Linked DNA regions of Oryzias latipes. The protein of the gene in region 2 interacts with the protein of the main gene of each other region in a biochemical or structural test. Links are inferred from orthologs where the notes say so. Each region holds a gene or a part of one and is shown on either strand. Other genes may lie near its edges.

What was found.
Region 1: the proteins of hltf (region 2) and rad18 form a complex in vitro, tested with the Homo sapiens proteins (2 studies listed by BioGRID). The link is inferred for Oryzias latipes from reciprocal best matches to the Homo sapiens genes HLTF and RAD18.

The regions. Positions count from the first base shown.
Region 1 is NC_019863.2:2,756,184-2,760,226, reverse strand, and holds the start of rad18 (E3 ubiquitin-protein ligase RAD18), read right to left. Parts: upstream 2,801-4,043; 5' UTR 2,688-2,800; coding exon 2,637-2,687; intron 1-2,636. UniProt on the Homo sapiens protein: E3 ubiquitin-protein ligase involved in postreplication repair of UV-damaged DNA. Postreplication repair functions in gap-filling of a daughter strand on replication of damaged DNA.
Region 2 is NC_019880.2:5,878,504-5,882,644, reverse strand, and holds the start of hltf (helicase-like transcription factor), read left to right. Parts: upstream 1-1,341; 5' UTR 1,342-1,471; intron 1,472-2,106; 5' UTR 2,107-2,108; coding exon 2,109-2,297; intron 2,298-2,374; coding exon 2,375-2,541; intron 2,542-3,810; coding exon 3,811-3,953; intron 3,954-4,029; coding exon 4,030-4,109; intron 4,110-4,141. UniProt on the Homo sapiens protein: Has both helicase and E3 ubiquitin ligase activities. Possesses intrinsic ATP-dependent nucleosome-remodeling activity; This activity may be required for transcriptional activation or repression of specific target promoters.

The DNA.
Region 1 (4,043 bases), on a different chromosome or scaffold from region 2:
TGTATCACAAATTCTGTGCCTGCAGATCATTTTATCATGTTTTAAAATGTTTCAATGCTCAGATTGAAACGATATACTTAGGAGGAAGTCTGTCCCACTACTTAGTGATGGAAATGTCCAATCCATTAAGAGCTTAGAGAAAGGGAACATCCAACGTTTGATCACAAAATAAGGCAAAGTATTAACCAGCACCATAGAGTCTGAACTTTCAAAGATGCTCCATTTGTAAACCTTTCTAGTAACCTTGTAGCTCCTCTCCACACTCGCTGCAATTTAGAAGTTAGTATAAATGACCAGAAGGAGGCTTTTCAAAGACTTGGTTTGAACAAATCCTATATTTGTCAGTGAGTTGTTTGATCAACATGAAGTACTAGAGTTTTTTTTAATCATCAGTCCCCAGGCAGGTAACTCAAAGCCATAGTAAAACATGAAAGAGTACACTCTAAAACAGTAAATATGAGGTTTGGCTGAGTCCGTGTTGCAGGACTGCTTTGCTTGCAGACAGTCTTTGAGGTAAGTTCTCAGTCTTTTAAGTTAAAATGGTTGGCTAATACTTCCTATATAATGTGGATGTTCTGTAAAGAAATTTCACTTCATTTGCTCTGTCAGTGAATTCAGTCAATCCTTCAGAGACATCCCAAAAGTCCTCAATAATCGGATTCAAAACATATTCAGCAGTTGTGGTTGAACTACCAACCCCTAACTCGAGACTGTAAAATCAGTGAAAACATGTGCAGTTATAGTTATTTTCCTTATGTTTTAAAGAGCCAATATCTCTCGTTATTCAGGAAAACCAATTCAAAATTCCAAAGCAAGTTTTCCTGGAAGGTTTTCTTAAAAAATGATTGTGATCTGAGGTACATTTAACAGCAGCAGGCCTGAAATATCCCTGAAGCCTCTGTGACTTTGTGTCCAATTTTTAAGTGGCAATGAAAACTGGATTTCATTCTAGATTAAAAAGAAAAACAGGCTTTTATGTAGGATATGTAATGAGATATACTACTATATGTGGATAAATTATGGGCGGGAACCTCTAAGATAAAAATGACCATCCTTCTGGAAAAATATCAGTATATTTTCAAATAACAATCCCATTTTTTCCTAGCTTATTCATAAATTCAGGCTGCCTTTCCGAGCTTTTAAGAGTATTAAAATTATTGCATACACAACAATAATCTTTACAAACTCATACTAAATGCCACAATTTTAAAATACCAACAAATTGTTTTTTGCATGAGCTTTTTTAGGTCTTTCCTGAATAATTTATATCTCAACAGACTGTGTAACCCTCCTTTTCATATAATAGCATTTTTCCTTGCCTAGTTGTATCTTACTTGTACTGTATTAACCAAAAAGTTCAAACTGATGTCTAATACACAAATTATAATAGTTAAAATAATTAAGGGATATTTTATAACCATTCATTTTATTCTTTGGTAAGATTTTTTTATATCCTTAAGTAACAATGCAACAATAGTTGCTGTTCTGAAGGAAAGTGCTAATGATGTTTATCTGCAAAAGCTCAACAACCTTATATTTTTATACTGGATTCTAAACATCTGCATTCACTCAGTTATGAGGGTAACTGCCGTAAATTAAGAGAAAATGAGTCGTATCAACAGAAAATATCTTTGGCTTGCCTTATTTACATTTTCAATTCAAGCAACTAGGTTGCAGGAAGATGATCTGACTTGGCCGATGTACTTTTATTTTAAAAAACGTATTTGCTGCAGTCAAAAAACAGAAATTCTTCTTTTTTTAACACCATGATTCCACACAACACCTGGCCTGTCGTTAGTTTACTCAAACCGTAATGGTTACAAAAACAGAAATACTATAGGGTTGTAACGATTAATCCACCTTATTGATCTATAATTCTACAATCCAAACAGATGGATCTGTCTGAGACGAGTTCCTAATGGAATCAACCTATGCTGTCCTAAAACTGTTTCAAAATTAAATAAAACTCAGTACCAGGTATTTGTCTCTGAGTCACACTGACTGGTTGAAGTTTAGTTCTGGATCTATTAGGTCAGTGAATCGTTCAAAATGAACCAATAACAACTATGGATCAGATCAGCAACCACAAATTATGATATGAATTGAATCGTTCAAATAAATCATTACAGCCCTAATAAATACAAATACTAACAAAAGGTGGGCTGATGTTTTAAGGCTCCTGCTGGGTTTTGGCTGGAGAGAAGCACAAGCAGACTCAAAAACTGGATGACAACCCTCTTCTTCAAGTTCGCTCCATCCTCACCTCAAGCGCCAATCTCCAACATCCCGGGCAGGATCAAGCGGGTTTAAAAATTTGGATTACAGTGTACAAACTTTTGTAAAACAATATACGTACACAAATAAATAAGCCCTCTGTGTTTGCGTAATATGAATTGTTGTTGGCGTTACTGCATTAGAACCACAGTTGACCTTACTAACTACTATCAAGCACCGAAAAGTCTATTTTTCCTTGAATCTGCTGCTAAAATGACAGTGAATGAGTGGGTTTTTGAACCAGTGTTGTATAAACTTCGTTTATCCAACGGCAAGTCAATGCCTCTAGCTTGTTCTTGCAGCTAGTCAGCATCTAACAAACCCGGTTTATTTTAAGCACCACAACAGAAGCGATATCTTACTTTCAAACATGCAAGACTTGCTGGTAGATCCGCTTCGATGTGATGGGCCATACTTCAGAACTAACGTTCATTTGTCGAGTCTGTTTATGTTGAAATTAGCTAAAGGCGTTTGTTTCTACTCTGCAGTCCCGCTCTAAAGATCGACATTGACGTCACAGCGGAACTTCCGCGGTGCGTTCAGGGCCGTCCGGTTTCAGGTCTCGACATAAAAAAGAGTCGCATTGATCAGTATTTTATTAAACCCTTGTGCTATCTTAGATGACCCCACCCTTACATTGACGTGTTCTCCCTACCATGACAAAGGTGGATAAAGGTGGAAAGATTTCATGTAATCCATGGACACCAGTGAGGATCGAAAAAAGAAAAAAAGGTTTAGTGCACTGTCTAGTGGGTCCAGATGACCCAACTCCCAATGTTAAAGTGCTAAGGGTTAATTTCATTTATGAAGTTTAATTTTATCAAAAACACAAGTTTTACACACCATTTATAAAAATTAACCTTTTTTTTCAACCAAGTATCATTCTTAAAGTATGCTGGGGAAATAATCAACAGATCCCCCAACCCCCGTTACCTTAAAGACCCATTCCGATTAAAATCCTGTTTTTGGTGTTTTTAACGTGTTCTTGTGCCATTTTTTCTCATGGTGAGGGACATTTAGAGAAAACTAAGCTTAAAATTGCATTTCTGAGTGTTTCTTTATTCAAATCGGTGTGAATGAGGAGCAGACGGAAAAAAAGGTCACTTGTCTATAGCTGCGTTTACATGGGCAAAAGTAATCGGAAAGAACGCCTGATCGGAAGGAAAATGCGTCATGTAAACGCGCCGTTCGGAATAGTGTGCCCCAATCAGACTCGTTCGGATCAAAATTTCTCTTCGATCGAGATAGGTGGGTTAGGCCGATCGTTTATTCGATCGTTGATCATGTAAACGGTCATTCCGATCGTGTGTCACTACTGCTCTGGTTTACGTCATGCATAGATGGTGTTTTGCTGAGAGAAAGCTTAGGAGCTCATAGGGGACCGACCAGCTGCTCTGCGGACGCCCTGTGAAAAGCGCCACTCCACTCTAGCCCCGCTTTTTTTTTTGTGTTTCCAGTTGTGTCCCGACTAAATAAAGGCTGATGTTATTCCCACACATTTACGTGCAGCCAAGATGCAGATTGCAGCGTTTCCCGTATGGTCCTGGCTTTTGTGTCCATCAAGGCTAATGTTGTTAGCCCGTGTTAGCCTCTCCTAACACTGGCTTCTTCCAGCTCCGTTCTTCGACAAAAAAAGCACTGACCACACGGATTAAATAAAAAGATAAGCGAACAGGCGCTTCATAACATTCATAACATTAATAAAAGCACGTTTTGAAGATCGTCTCGCATATTACCGAGCTGCTGCACAAAATAAATGTCTGTGGCAG
Region 2 (4,141 bases):
AATACTGCAAAAAAAAAGTATGAGCAGGGATCATTTCACCGAACTGATTTCACTTAACTAAGTTACTACTCAACAGATCGATAAGTTGGTTTCTTTACAAGTGGAAGAGAAAGGAAGTCCCAACAAAGTGACAGTAAAAGTGATCCAATAACTCATATAAACTATAGAGCTCACCTGTGTTGTGCCAACAAGTATCTGCAGGTCGTAATTTGAATTTCTGCTCTGTCTGTCTGGGTAAATCCTCAAACGTTCTCCAGTGGCTTACTTACTTTGAATCCGACTATAAATCCAGATTTGAGCCGGAGATTTCGCGAAGACTTCCACGTTCGTCAAGAGAAACGGCGGTTTCTCAGACACGGTGGACTTTTGTCGTTTTTTCTCTCCCGGCACTCTGTGCTTCGTTCGGTCCAAGGAGGAACCTGGTGGAGAGAAGAGGAAGCGGAACCTCGCACAAACATGAGGATTCGGGACCTAGCGGCACCCGTAGCGCTCACATTTAATCAAAATTAAAAATGTAAATACTTTTCCCTGAATTTAGCTAAATGCAATGCATATGAAACTCGCGCAGAGAAAGATATAATCAATATAATTCCAAACAACATCGGTGAAAGAACGATTACGAAGAACTAAAGTGTATCTTCAAACAGATATGCACTGCGCATGTGTGTTGACCTCAACGGAACCAACAAGTTGGATTCTTTAGATTTTCAAAACAAAATATCCAACATGAATAATTGAGGGTCGTTGTTTTTTATCATTAAGAGCTCAAAAATACACCTAAAAAACACACAATAATAGCTCACAGTATATATAATCTGAATTATAATTTCATAAAATGTTGAATTTGTTGTCTTTATGTTGCACAAGCTTTACATTTTTGTGCAAATATTTCTATATCTACCATATCAAATCATGATAAATCTCTCTTTGTGTATGAAAAATATAACTATGTTATAACTATGAACTATGAAATATAACTGATGAAGTACACTGATGAAGTATACCTTCAGGAGCCCGGTGTACTGTTTTTATAAAATAAATTAAATAGTGATAATAATGTAATGCAGATACAATCTTCATTTTTGATAATTATGGAAAAAAACAAAAATAAAACCATACTAAAAATGACATTGTAATGCAAAGACAGGATAAATGACGACTGCTGCCAGTGCATCCACATAAAAGATTGATAACATACTGCACTTACCAAAACTTTTATTATCAACTTCAGAATTAAATTCTTATATTATACAAAGTTCTACATCAAGCAGCTATAACAAACAAATAAAAAAATAAAAATAACACCAAAAAGCATGTCATTGGGTTTTATTTTGAAAGTTAACAACGGAAGGATTATTCTAGGCGCAGATGTGTTTCATTTGAAAGTGCTGTGAACATTGTGTCGCAGTTGATAGCAGGATACTTGCAGGGAAACCGTACAAAAACTATCAACACTGAAGGAAGATCGAAAGTAAGGCCTCGTTATTATATGCTGATATTTATTACATTCTGTGTTCTTCCGTTAGCACGAGAACAAACGGCGCGTGCTAGCTTAGTAACACTTACCTACTTTACTTTCCATAAGAATGGCTGTGTTTCGTTTTCTCGAAAACTGTAGTTGAAACGAAAATTAAACTACAAAGTAGTATGAAGCTTCTATACATCTCACCTCCAACATGAGAGCTAGCAGAAAGTTAATTTAAGTTGTGCACCGCTGCCTGCAACTGTTAGTTTCCACAGAACCATCATTTTTTTTAAATAAAAAAAAACTTTATTAACAAATATTGCACATACAGAATATCACACATTACAATCCATACTAGTATGTGCAAATGCCAAAAGTTTCACATTTGCCAGGAAAATTATCAAAAATGTCAAAAAAGCCATTATAATAGCAAGATAAAACAGATTAAAAAATAAAATAGGTAAAGGATTCTGCTAAAGTCTCAAATGTGACCATGTTTCAACTGTTCTAGAAGCTTTTTGGTTAGTGCAGGATTCAATACTATTTACATACAGAATAATTTATTTCTGAAAAATATAAAATAAATACTGCCTTATTTTGTTACAGAACTCTTCATCTTTGCCGTCTTTTTTTGTCTGCAGGTATGCTTTCCCACAGGTGGAGGTCTGGATGGGGCAGGTTCGTTGACGTGGACCTCTTCACAGACAGCCATGAGACTTTGTCCCAGGCCATCAGAGCTGCAGCGTCCGAAGAGCCGGCGGATGCTGACGGCAGCGTGCTGTTCGGCCACCTGAGGGGTTCTGTGGTGGGCCTCAGATATTACACAGGCGTGGTAAGGGTCAGACTGTCTCTTCCACACACACACATAAAAAATACTCCTACATTTCAGAGGGTTTCTTCTCTGGACAGGTGAACCAGGGTGAGATGGTGGGCTTGGTGCGAGAACCTCATAACCCATACGACTGCAATGCAGTGATGGTTGCAAACGTTTATGGCAACCAGGTGGGACACATCAAGAGGGAACTGGCTGCAGCCATGGCCCATGTCATGGACAACAACCTGGCTAAAGTGGAGGGGTGAGTGTCATGGTGCGGTCACTGTGTCGCTTAGGTTTTCTCCTCATACGTTCAGAGCTTTCCATAAAATTTGGAAAAGTTTTTAAAGACCCACTCTGATGAAAGTTGTGTGTTGGGGAGTTTTTTAACATGTCCTTTTGGTATTTTTTTTGATGATGGAGGACATCAATAAAGAAAATTAGGCTTAAATTAGGCATTTCTCAATATTAAATAGAAAAAATATGAAAAGGTGCCATTTGAAGAAGCTTGTAGCTGTGATGTGGAACCTATTTACTGCATTCTGATGCATCCACCTGCAGAGTAACAGATCCATGTACGTCTTTGTTTTCCTCATCCGAGCTGACGTCTCCCTCCAAACTGTACGACTGTATCCCCTTTTTGTCGCACTGGTAATGGTTGGGGGTGTTGGGAGACATAAGGTAGCAGGAGAGAGTGTAAACAGTGGGATGATGGGAAATGAGGGTGGGCTTACTCCACGCCAATGGTTCCACCGACAACTCGTAGGGGAATTTCTGATAAACAAAGTTTTTTTGAATTTGGCTAAAAACAGCATAATCATAATTAAAAGACCACTAGAAACCCTTTGAAAGCAGATCAAAATGGGTCTTTAAAGGTTGTAACAACAGGAATTGATGCCTTTTCTGGTTATTTGCCAGTTTTTTCTGTCTCGGCATAACTTTGCCGTAAAATGGATAAACAGAATTGCAAATCTCGTTTTATTCTAATTTGTAAATGTCTCATTAGTAGAACATTATAAAATCATGATTTTGTTTTGTTTTTCAATAATTCATTCTTAAAGCAAGAAGAGTTAAATTTTAGTTTTTTTTTTAAATTTTAAGATTTGATGTTGTTGTTTTTTTTTTTACCGTATTCTTTCTCCTTCTGTTTTTTTCTTATCATGTATACGTTATTACATTTTCTTTTGATGTACTTTTATCCAATAATTGGAGGAAAAAAAGTCACAATACTGCAATTAACGTCAGAATTTTCTTTGCCCTTTTTTTTTCTTTCTCTATGGCCCTAATCCTTTTCTGTAATTTTAGACCAAATAAGAAATTGTGAAATTGAAAATATAAAAGTATATTGCTTTTCAGTTCTGAAAGACATCCTATAACATTAGGGTTCTTGTTGAACACCAAACGTTAGTTGTGATTGTTCATTTATTTAATGTATATTAGGTTTTTTGTCGTTTTGTTTTTAAATTGACTTTTAGATGAAAACAGAACATAAATGAGTTGATATGAGCGCCGCTGCCTGTGTGGTTGTCAGGGTCGTACCTTACGGAAAAAACAACTCGTTCACCATGCCGGTCATTTTGTCCTTTTGGGGGAAAGAAGAGAACAAAAATGCAGTCCTGGAAAACATGGAACGGCGAGGATTCAAACTGAACTCAGACGGAAACAAATTAGCAGGTATGCCTGAGTCTTTCAGGAACGTCTGTGGATGCTCCAGACACGTCTGGTTTTACTATTATTTGCTTCCTTTCAGGTCAGAAAACCAACAGCATTTCAGGCGCTCGTGCTTTTTCATCCAAAAAAGGAGTGACTGTCCCACTAACTGCAGAGGAGGTAACTGGATTTAACGACATGAAATGTTTGTT